2 linked regions of the Daphnia pulex genome follow. The protein of the gene in region 2 purifies or fractionates together with the protein of the main gene of each other region. This does not show direct contact. Links are inferred from orthologs where the notes say so. Each region holds a gene or a part of one and is shown on either strand. Other genes may lie near its edges.

What was found.
Region 1: the proteins of cap-specific mRNA (nucleoside-2'-O-)-methyltransferase 1-like (region 2) and putative pre-mRNA-splicing factor ATP-dependent RNA helicase PRP1 purify together in Homo sapiens (co-immunoprecipitation; 3 studies listed by BioGRID and IntAct, with this or other methods). This does not show direct contact. The link is inferred for Daphnia pulex from reciprocal best matches to the Homo sapiens genes CMTR1 and DHX15.

Annotation. Positions count from the first base shown.
Region 1 is NC_060017.1:1,846,387-1,850,795, reverse strand, and holds the start of putative pre-mRNA-splicing factor ATP-dependent RNA helicase PRP1, read left to right. Parts: upstream 1-1,474; 5' UTR 1,475-1,600; coding exon 1,601-1,647; intron 1,648-1,828; coding exon 1,829-1,870; intron 1,871-1,983; coding exon 1,984-2,091; intron 2,092-2,154; coding exon 2,155-2,295; intron 2,296-2,358; coding exon 2,359-2,433; intron 2,434-2,494; coding exon 2,495-2,599; intron 2,600-2,662; coding exon 2,663-3,041; intron 3,042-3,121; coding exon 3,122-3,376; intron 3,377-3,440; coding exon 3,441-3,699; intron 3,700-3,758; coding exon 3,759-3,950; intron 3,951-4,304; coding exon 4,305-4,409. Other genes in the region: quinone oxidoreductase-like, read right to left, coding at 1-9, 90-122.
Region 2 is NC_060021.1:638,088-642,177, forward strand, and holds the start of cap-specific mRNA (nucleoside-2'-O-)-methyltransferase 1-like, read left to right. Parts: upstream 1-1,165; 5' UTR 1,166-1,370; intron 1,371-1,458; 5' UTR 1,459-1,507; coding exon 1,508-1,541; intron 1,542-1,695; coding exon 1,696-2,006; intron 2,007-2,070; coding exon 2,071-2,226; intron 2,227-2,284; coding exon 2,285-2,452; intron 2,453-2,520; coding exon 2,521-2,688; intron 2,689-2,751; coding exon 2,752-2,944; intron 2,945-3,035; coding exon 3,036-3,151; intron 3,152-3,217; coding exon 3,218-3,314; intron 3,315-3,373; coding exon 3,374-3,506; intron 3,507-3,594; coding exon 3,595-3,785; intron 3,786-3,850; coding exon 3,851-3,992; intron 3,993-4,055; coding exon 4,056-4,090. Other genes in the region: vacuolar protein sorting-associated protein 51 homolog, read right to left, coding at 1-106. UniProt on the Homo sapiens protein: S-adenosyl-L-methionine-dependent methyltransferase that mediates mRNA cap1 2'-O-ribose methylation to the 5'-cap structure of mRNAs.

The DNA of each region.
Region 1 (4,409 bases), on a different chromosome or scaffold from region 2:
TGCCAGTCCCTGAAAATAAAACAACAATAAAAAAATCATTATTTTAATGTTCATAATCTCTACATGATTTTGTCCATTTTTCTGTATACCCTAGTTAATACAAAGAAGTTTCTCGAGTTCATTGACACATATTTAGTTAAGGGCTCGGTCGAAAGTTCGTTGCATCTTTCATTTTACAGTTTACCTTCACTGGATAATTTACAGTTTACCTTCACTGGATAACTGCTTGCTGGCTTTCTCTTATCTAATCAAGCAGCACCTCTAGTTTTATTCAATAAGATATCTGTTAATAACATCAACAAGTTCAGACGACATAGAGGGCGAAGGCTCCCAATTCAAAAAATGTCCGATCGCAATTTTTGCAAATCATAAACAGAAATGCAAATAAAAAAAGTAGTCTTTGGTCTCTTTAGAAGGAAAATATTAAATCAAAATGCGATGCTCTAGATACTGAGAGCGCGTAACGGAAATCGGGTTTCTTTGGAAATATTTTCTCCCGAAGTACGGGCACTTTTTCGGCCATTGAAATCAAGTTATTTAACAGCACACACGAAATTTCCAATTATTTTGTTAAGTAATATTACAGATTTTTAGCTATAGCGATAAAATTAACGGTAACAAAAAATTGTCTTACGGATTTTCAAAGGGAATTGTAACAGGGAAACGTAAACTGGACGGACGTAGGACGGAAGACCTGTTAATTCCTCGGCGGCAGGTAGCGATGTGAATGTCGGGAGCACCGAGAAAGAAGAAATAGGACATCAAATTTCCTAGCCTTTCTTTTTTTCTTTACTGCTATGTGTTCCGCTCAGTTCACGATTTCATGCCCGTTCTCTGCGTTCTACTTTCTCTCTACAACTTCCCTACTAATAAAGAACAATTTAAATTGAATTATTCCGGGAAGCATCAATGCATTTAAACAATAGCTTCTCCCCATATAGATTTTTATTTTCTATTTTTTCCTAGGCCTAATTTCATTAGACCAAACACATGATTAATAGAAATAAGACAAATTGAGTCCTTCAATGCGTATTGGATATTCAAACTAATTTATTTGAAATGAATTCAAAGTTTTTTATAATAAGGACGTCGTCAATGCTGAATTCTCGTGGAATATATAAACATAACGGTACTGAACGGAGGAAATATTCCGAATTGAGAAATCAACAACTTTTTCATTTAGGCTAACTTGTAACTTTCTAACCACCAAAACGAGGCAACCATGAAATTGTGATCGAGCAGTAAAATAATTACTATACTATTCAATTAGCAAATACCATATAGCTAGGGTCTGAAACGAATTAGAAGCAAAGCCATATACATTTATAGATCAGCGCCGCGCATAAAAATACGGCATCTGTAGACGAGTTATTGTCAACTTAAATTGTGGCAATAAACCAGTAGTTCCGCAGTTCGCCGCTTATTGGCTATGTGCCATCTAGCGATTTGAAATGAAACGCGTGCTTCCTTTGAATTTCACAAGTAGCGTCTGCAAGTGTGGAAATTGGTGGCCGAAGTTCCTGTCTGTGCTGTTGGAAAACGTGTATCCACGTCCTGTTCGTTTTTAAATATCGTAAAATAGATATTTTCACCTCTTATTATGTCGAAAAGACGCATAGAAGTTGATGACAAGCTCAGCAAGAAATCGTAAGTAAAATGCAATTATTCAAATTAGACAAATAAACCCGCGATTGTGTCATTTGTAATGCACATGAGCATGCTGTAGTGAAACATGTCGTGGTCGATAAGATTGTTAATGATTTTTCAAAAAACCATCATTCTTTTTTTAAATTATTATGCAATAAAATTAATTTGTTTTACTTTACAGCCGGGCAACTGGTGACAAAGGGAGTGAAGCAGATAAAGAAAAGTAAGCTTCTATTGTTATAAATATTTTTCTAAATTCATTTTCACTTTTTGATTTACAAATTCCCATATTAGTGTCTTAAGATTAAAATAATGCTTTGTCTTATTACTTTACAGAAATGTAACTGATTCTAAACCTGGTGGTTCATCTGCATCAATTCCAGTAACACCATCAAAGCCAGGGTTGACATTAAATCCCCTTACAGGATTGCCCTATACACAAAAGTACATCATAAATATTATTTTTTTTTAAACACTCGTTGATAATGATCATTTATATTGTTTTAGATACTATGACATTTATCGAAAGCGCATTGGCCTTCCAGTTTGGGAATACAGGGAGAAATTTTTTGAGCTTCTAGAAAACAACCAGGCAATAGTTTTAGTTGGAGAAACTGGATCGGGAAAAACTACTCAAATTCCTCAATGGTTAGGAAATATATTTAGTTTATCGTAGAGCAGTTTGTTGATAATTTGCTATTATTGTGACAGGTCGGCTGAGTTTGCGCGAAAACTAGGAGTTAAAAAAGGAGTCGCTTGTACTCAACCACGTCGAGTTGCTGCTATGTAATATTTTAAGTCAAATAGTTAATTTTCTCTTAATATAAAACCGTTTTTTTTTTGTAAGGTCTGTGGCTCAACGTGTAGCTGATGAAATGGACGTCGTTCTTGGTCAAGAAGTGGGTTACAGTATCCGTTTCGAAGACTGTTCTTCCCCCAAAACCGTACTCAAGTATGTTCTTTTGAGTAAAACGTTTTATTCGATCAAAACTATTCCCTATTTCATTTTTTAAAGGTACATGACAGACGGTATGTTGTTGCGTGAAGCCATGTCAGATCCACTGTTAGACTCGTATCAGCTAGTTTTATTGGACGAAGCTCACGAGCGTACACTTGCTACTGACATTCTTATGGGTGTTTTAAAGGAAGTCATTAAGCAAAGGCGTGATCTAAAGTTAATTATCATGTCTGCCACGCTTGACGCGGGAAAGTTTCAATCTTATTTTGATAACGCACCATTGATGAACGTGCCCGGTCGGACGCATCCTGTGGAGATCTTTTACACCCCAGAACCCGAGCGTGACTATCTTGAAGCAGCCATACGCACAGTCATGCAAATTCACATGTGTGAAGATATTGTCGGTGATGTTCTTCTCTTCCTCACTGGTCAAGAGGTTAGCTTTATATATTTGTAAAATTTGATTGAATTTCTCAGATTTCTCTGAACATGTTTATCTTATTCATGTACACATAGGAAATCGATGAAGCTTGCAAAAGGTTGAAACGTGAAATCGACAACCTTGGTCCTGAAGTGGGAGAAATGAAGTGTATTCCTTTGTACTCCACATTGCCACCAAATTTGCAACAGAGGATTTTTGAGGCTGCTCCCCCAGTTAGACCAAATGGAGCCATCGGTCGTAAAGTGGTTATTAGTACCAACATCGCCGAGACCTCGCTTACTATTGATGGTGTTGTTTTTGTTATTGACCCTGGTTTTGCCAAACAAAAGGTAACATTTAGGAATTTTCAAATGTGAGTTACATGGTTCAAATTTGTGGAATTGCTGTTTTCAGGTTTACAATCCTCGCATTCGCGTCGAGTCTTTACTCGTTTCTCCTATCAGCAAAGCATCAGCTCAGCAACGTGCTGGGCGTGCCGGGCGTACGCGACCAGGAAAATGTTTTCGTCTTTACACAGAAAAAGCCTACAAACAAGAGATGCAAGACAACACATATCCTGAAATTCTTCGCTCCAACTTGGGATCAGTCGTCATTAATCTTAAAAAATTAGGCATCGACGACCTTGTTCATTTTGATTTCATGGACCCTCCAGGTACCATATCAACATTTAAATAAATAAACCGCATGCTGATTTTTTTTTTTATTTTACAGCTCCCGAGACTTTGATGAGAGCTCTAGAGTTGCTGAATTATCTCGGTGCTTTAGACGACGATGGTAACATGACCGAGTTGGGAGCAATTATGGCTGAATTTCCCCTTGATCCTCAATTGGCCAAAATGTTGATTGCTTCTACGGAATTCAACTGCTCCAATGAGATCCTTTCGATTACGGCTATGCTTTCCGGTAAGCTTCACCTAACTTCTATTTCGGTTGATTTGGTTGTCTTTGTGTGGGATCTGAAAAATAGCTAGGGTGATTTGCCACGTTTTGCCTTTGTAGTTTAATCTAAAAGTTCTTACTTGTTATGGCAAAACGGCTAATCAACTGGTTTAAAAGGTGTGCTTTCTTTGAGAGCACAGATCATAGTAGAAACGATAGGCTGTTCTATTGTATCCTGTTAATAGGTGAACAGAACTAAACATGAAGGCGGGACGCGCGGGCTTCCCATTTTTTGGTCTCCTTGAAAAATGTGGGGCCCCACTTCCGTCTCTTTCTCTTTTTGTCTCCTCCCATTTTTTCCGCAACGTCTGAATGCAGTCCCACAAGTTTTTATGCGTCCACTGGAAGCCAAAAAGGCTGCTGACGAGGCCAAGATGCGCTTTGCTCATATTGACGGTGATCACTTGACTATGCTGAACGTCT
Region 2 (4,090 bases):
TTTCTACATCCTTTTCTTCTGTTATCCCATAGTATTGAGAAAGAAGATTGTTTCTTTTTCTTTTATCGTTTTCATTTAGTTCTTTACTCATTTTGACGTTTTTCATTGGCACTGTTCACCAACTGATTAGTGATTACACATACCGCACATACATTTCTTTAGTTGTAACCACAGACTAAGAGGGTAAAGACCACGAACGGCTATAAACCCCTTGAAGCGATGCTCGTCCTATGCCGTATGGTGGCGCGTCGAGCACACAAAACGAAAGCCATTATTTTTCCTCTTTCCCTACTGATTAGAGTCTTCACACACCGTAAGTTTATAATTGAACCATTAACATATCAATAGTGATGTTTTGTGTAAATATAGCTTAGATATCTCCCATGTTGTGGGAATTTTTTTAAATTTCTATGTGATGTCTAGATACAATCCATAAATTCCTTTATTAAACCCCCTTTTTGCCCATTTTCAGGCCCAGGAAACAGCGTTTCAAGATTTTCTGAAATGGGCCTGAAAATCGTGAAACGCTGTTTCCTGGGCCTGAAAATGGGCAAAAAGGGGGTTTAATAAAGGAATTTATAGATTGTATCTAGACATCACATAGAAATTTAAAAAAATTCCCACAACATGGGAGATATCTAAGCTATATTTACACAAAACATCACTATTGATATGTTAATGGTTTAATTATAAACTTACGGTGTGTGAAGACTCTAATCAGTAGGGAAAGAGGAAAAATAATGGCTTTCGTTTTGTGTGCTCGACGCGCCACCATACGGCATAGGACGAGCATCGCTTCAAGCATCCCTCTTTAGCCCTATCCCTGATCGTAGTCTTTACCCTCTTAGTCTGTGGTTGTAACTGCAAATCGAATGGTTGGGGATTGGATAGCGTTAATGTAAGTTTTTGACGTTTCGCGAGCTGATGTCAGAATGTCTTAACGCTTCAAGTCTCAAACCGCCAACCCAAGGCATAAAAATAACAGGTAAGAAATTATGACAGGCCGGCTTGCTTTAGGTTTTGGATATGCAGTCTGCAGAGAGCTGCTGGCTGATTAGCTCATTACATTACACAATAATACCACCACACTAACAGCTGACCCCACCTTATCTGCTGCCCTCTATGTACTGATACTAAACTCAAAATATTTTCATATCAGCCAATAAAAATGAAAGACCCAGACTGTAGCAGACATCGCTACAGATATCAGATTATGCTAGCGTGAGCAAGAACGAGCGGTGTTTACTTTCTTCCGTTCGGTCATTCGATCGTTTTATTAAATCATTCGTCAGACATTTTTTTTTGTGTATTTTCAAGATGCTTGCATTTTGACTTCTATAGCCACATGTCAATGCGTACGTTTAATTCTGGTGAGTCATATATAAATCATGGAAATCAACTTTTGGAAGCTTTTGGCTTTTGAATTAACTTAAAAATTTGGAAACGTTATATTATTAGGAACGACGTCAGTCATCAAATAGTCTACACAACTACAAAACGCTAAACAATGGCTTCGCAAGGAAAAATAACATCACTGAGTGGTTAGTATGAGACGCTGTTTAAATTTTTTTATAGAAAAAAGTTGGTTTATCTTCAGCAATAATTAACCTAGCTTGAATAAATTGGTGGAACCCGTTTTGCAACTAATGGGTTATATATATATAATATAAGTAATTTCCTGCAAAATTTCTACAGATTCCAGTTCAGATGATGATAGTTACAGACCTCCTTTGAAAAAACCAAACACACAGTATTATAATAATACAGGAGAAGTTAACTCAAGAAAGAAACTAAATGACATTGAAACATGTGAACGTAGCACTGTCATTGTTAGCCCATCCAAAAGTAATGCTGATGGAGGATATGGGTTTAATGCACCATCCAGTAGTCAAGATTCTGATTCTAGTGATGATGATCAGCCTATCATGCCTTCTGTACATAAAACACTCATCAAACCTAAATCTGCTGCTGCTCCAGTCATAAATCATAAAGCCACAGCAATGATGGTCAGTTTAATATTCTTACAGTGCATACTATGTGGCTGCTAATAGATTTCTGAACTACTTAAAGGCTAAAATGGGTTGGGCTAAAGGAACTGGACTTGGTAAGAAATCCCAAGGTATGACACAGCCCATCGAAGTCTCTAAACAACGCGGAAGAAGAGGATTGGGTTTGCAGATAAAAGGATTGGAAGCTGAAGATGTTGAATGGGACTCAAGTAGAGAGGTTGTTAATGTCTACATTTATCTTGATTATTTCATTCATTCATTCTGTTGTCTTCTAGACTGTTGTAGTGGAAGAAGAGATTTCATGGCTTCATCTAGATTCCACTCCTGCACCTACTTTGCCAGAGTTAAAAAATTGGGTAAAAGAGGGAACCAAAAAATTAACAATTGATGATGAGACAACATTTTGTAGCAGCGACATTTTAAAACAAGTTCTTCAGTGCAAAGTAACTTAATTTAGGATGATTAATGTCATTATTAAATATTTACATTCATGTTCTTTGCTCTTTTCAAGTCGATATTTGATGTGTTGGAAGAAGAAGAACTAAGGAAAGCACGCACCCGCTCTAATCCATTTGAAACTATTCGGGGAGCTTTTTTTCTTAACAGAGCGGCGATGAAGATGGCAAATATGGATGCTGTTTTTGATTTTATGTTTACTGATCCTAGAAACGAAGATGGGGTAAGTTTTGTACATTGGTAAAGCAGAATTTTACTTTGTGATTTTGAGTGAAATTCTTTACAGACCCCAGTTCTTGGTCCGAACGAATTACTTTATTTTGCTGACGTTTGCGCTGGCCCAGGAGGATTTTCTGAATACATACTGTGGCGAAAAAAATGGGAAGCCAAGGGTTTCGGCTTCACTCTAAAGAGCTCCAACGATTTCAAGTTGGAAGATTTCCATGCCGCCCCTTGCGAATGTTTTGAACCCCATTATGGTAAAGAAAAGTGTTATAATTTTAATTTAAAAAAAATCAGATCAATCAATTGAAATCAGTAGTCAGTTATAGTGAATCATTTTTATATTAGGTGTTGGTGGAGTTGAAGGAAACGGAGATGTGTATAATCCGGAAAACATCCGTGAATTCCAACGTTTTGTTATGGCTCAAACCGGAGAAGGCGTACATTTCATGATGGCCGACGGAGTAAGCTTTTCTATGTTCCCACCTAGTCTGTATGTGTAACTTATCTTTTTCTTTTCAACACTTTAGGGATTTTCTGTTGAAGGGCAAGAAAATCTTCAAGAAATTTTGTCAAAACGACTTTATCTTTGCCAATTCCTTGTTGCTTTGTCTATAGTTCGAACAGGTATTTTATTCCTACGTTTTCATGTGTGTAGTTTATTTATCGAAGAATTCTGTTCATAGGTGGCCACTTTGTGTGTAAGTTATTTGATTTGTTTACACCATTTAGCGCTGGGTTAGTATACTTGATGTATCGTTCCTTTAAACAAATTTCCATCCATAAACCAAATACTTCCCGACCGGCCAATTCGGAAAGGTAAATTTATTAGTTTGCGACATTGAGCGCTATTAAATATCATTTTTCCAAATAGTTATTTTAATATTTTTTTTTGAATTCCTGGTAGATATATAATTTGCAAGTGGAAAAGAAGTGACACTCAAGATGTCGAGACTTACCTGTTTGAAATCAATCGTCGCCTTGATAAGCTTAGTAATTCTAAAACGGAAACGGATGTCATGCATATTGTACCATTGGATTTGATGACAAACCATCATGACTTTTACAATTATTTGTTTGAGTCCAACAATGATTTGGGTTTGATTTATTGCCTGGTATTAAAATATGCAACATTTACTTCATGTATGTATAATGTTCAATAGGTGAAAGACAAGTTGTAAACCTCGCCAAAATTGCCGCATTTTGCAAAGATGTCACACTAAGAGAGGACCGGCAATCTGAACTTAAGAAACAGTCATTAGAATTTTGGAAAATTCCAGAAAAAACTCGCACAGCCCCATCCAGGTTGTCTTTGCAATAACTTTTCATTTCGGAAATTTTTAAACAAATGTGATAATTTATTTACAGGACGACTCCCGTTGACAAATCGAAAGAGCTCCTCA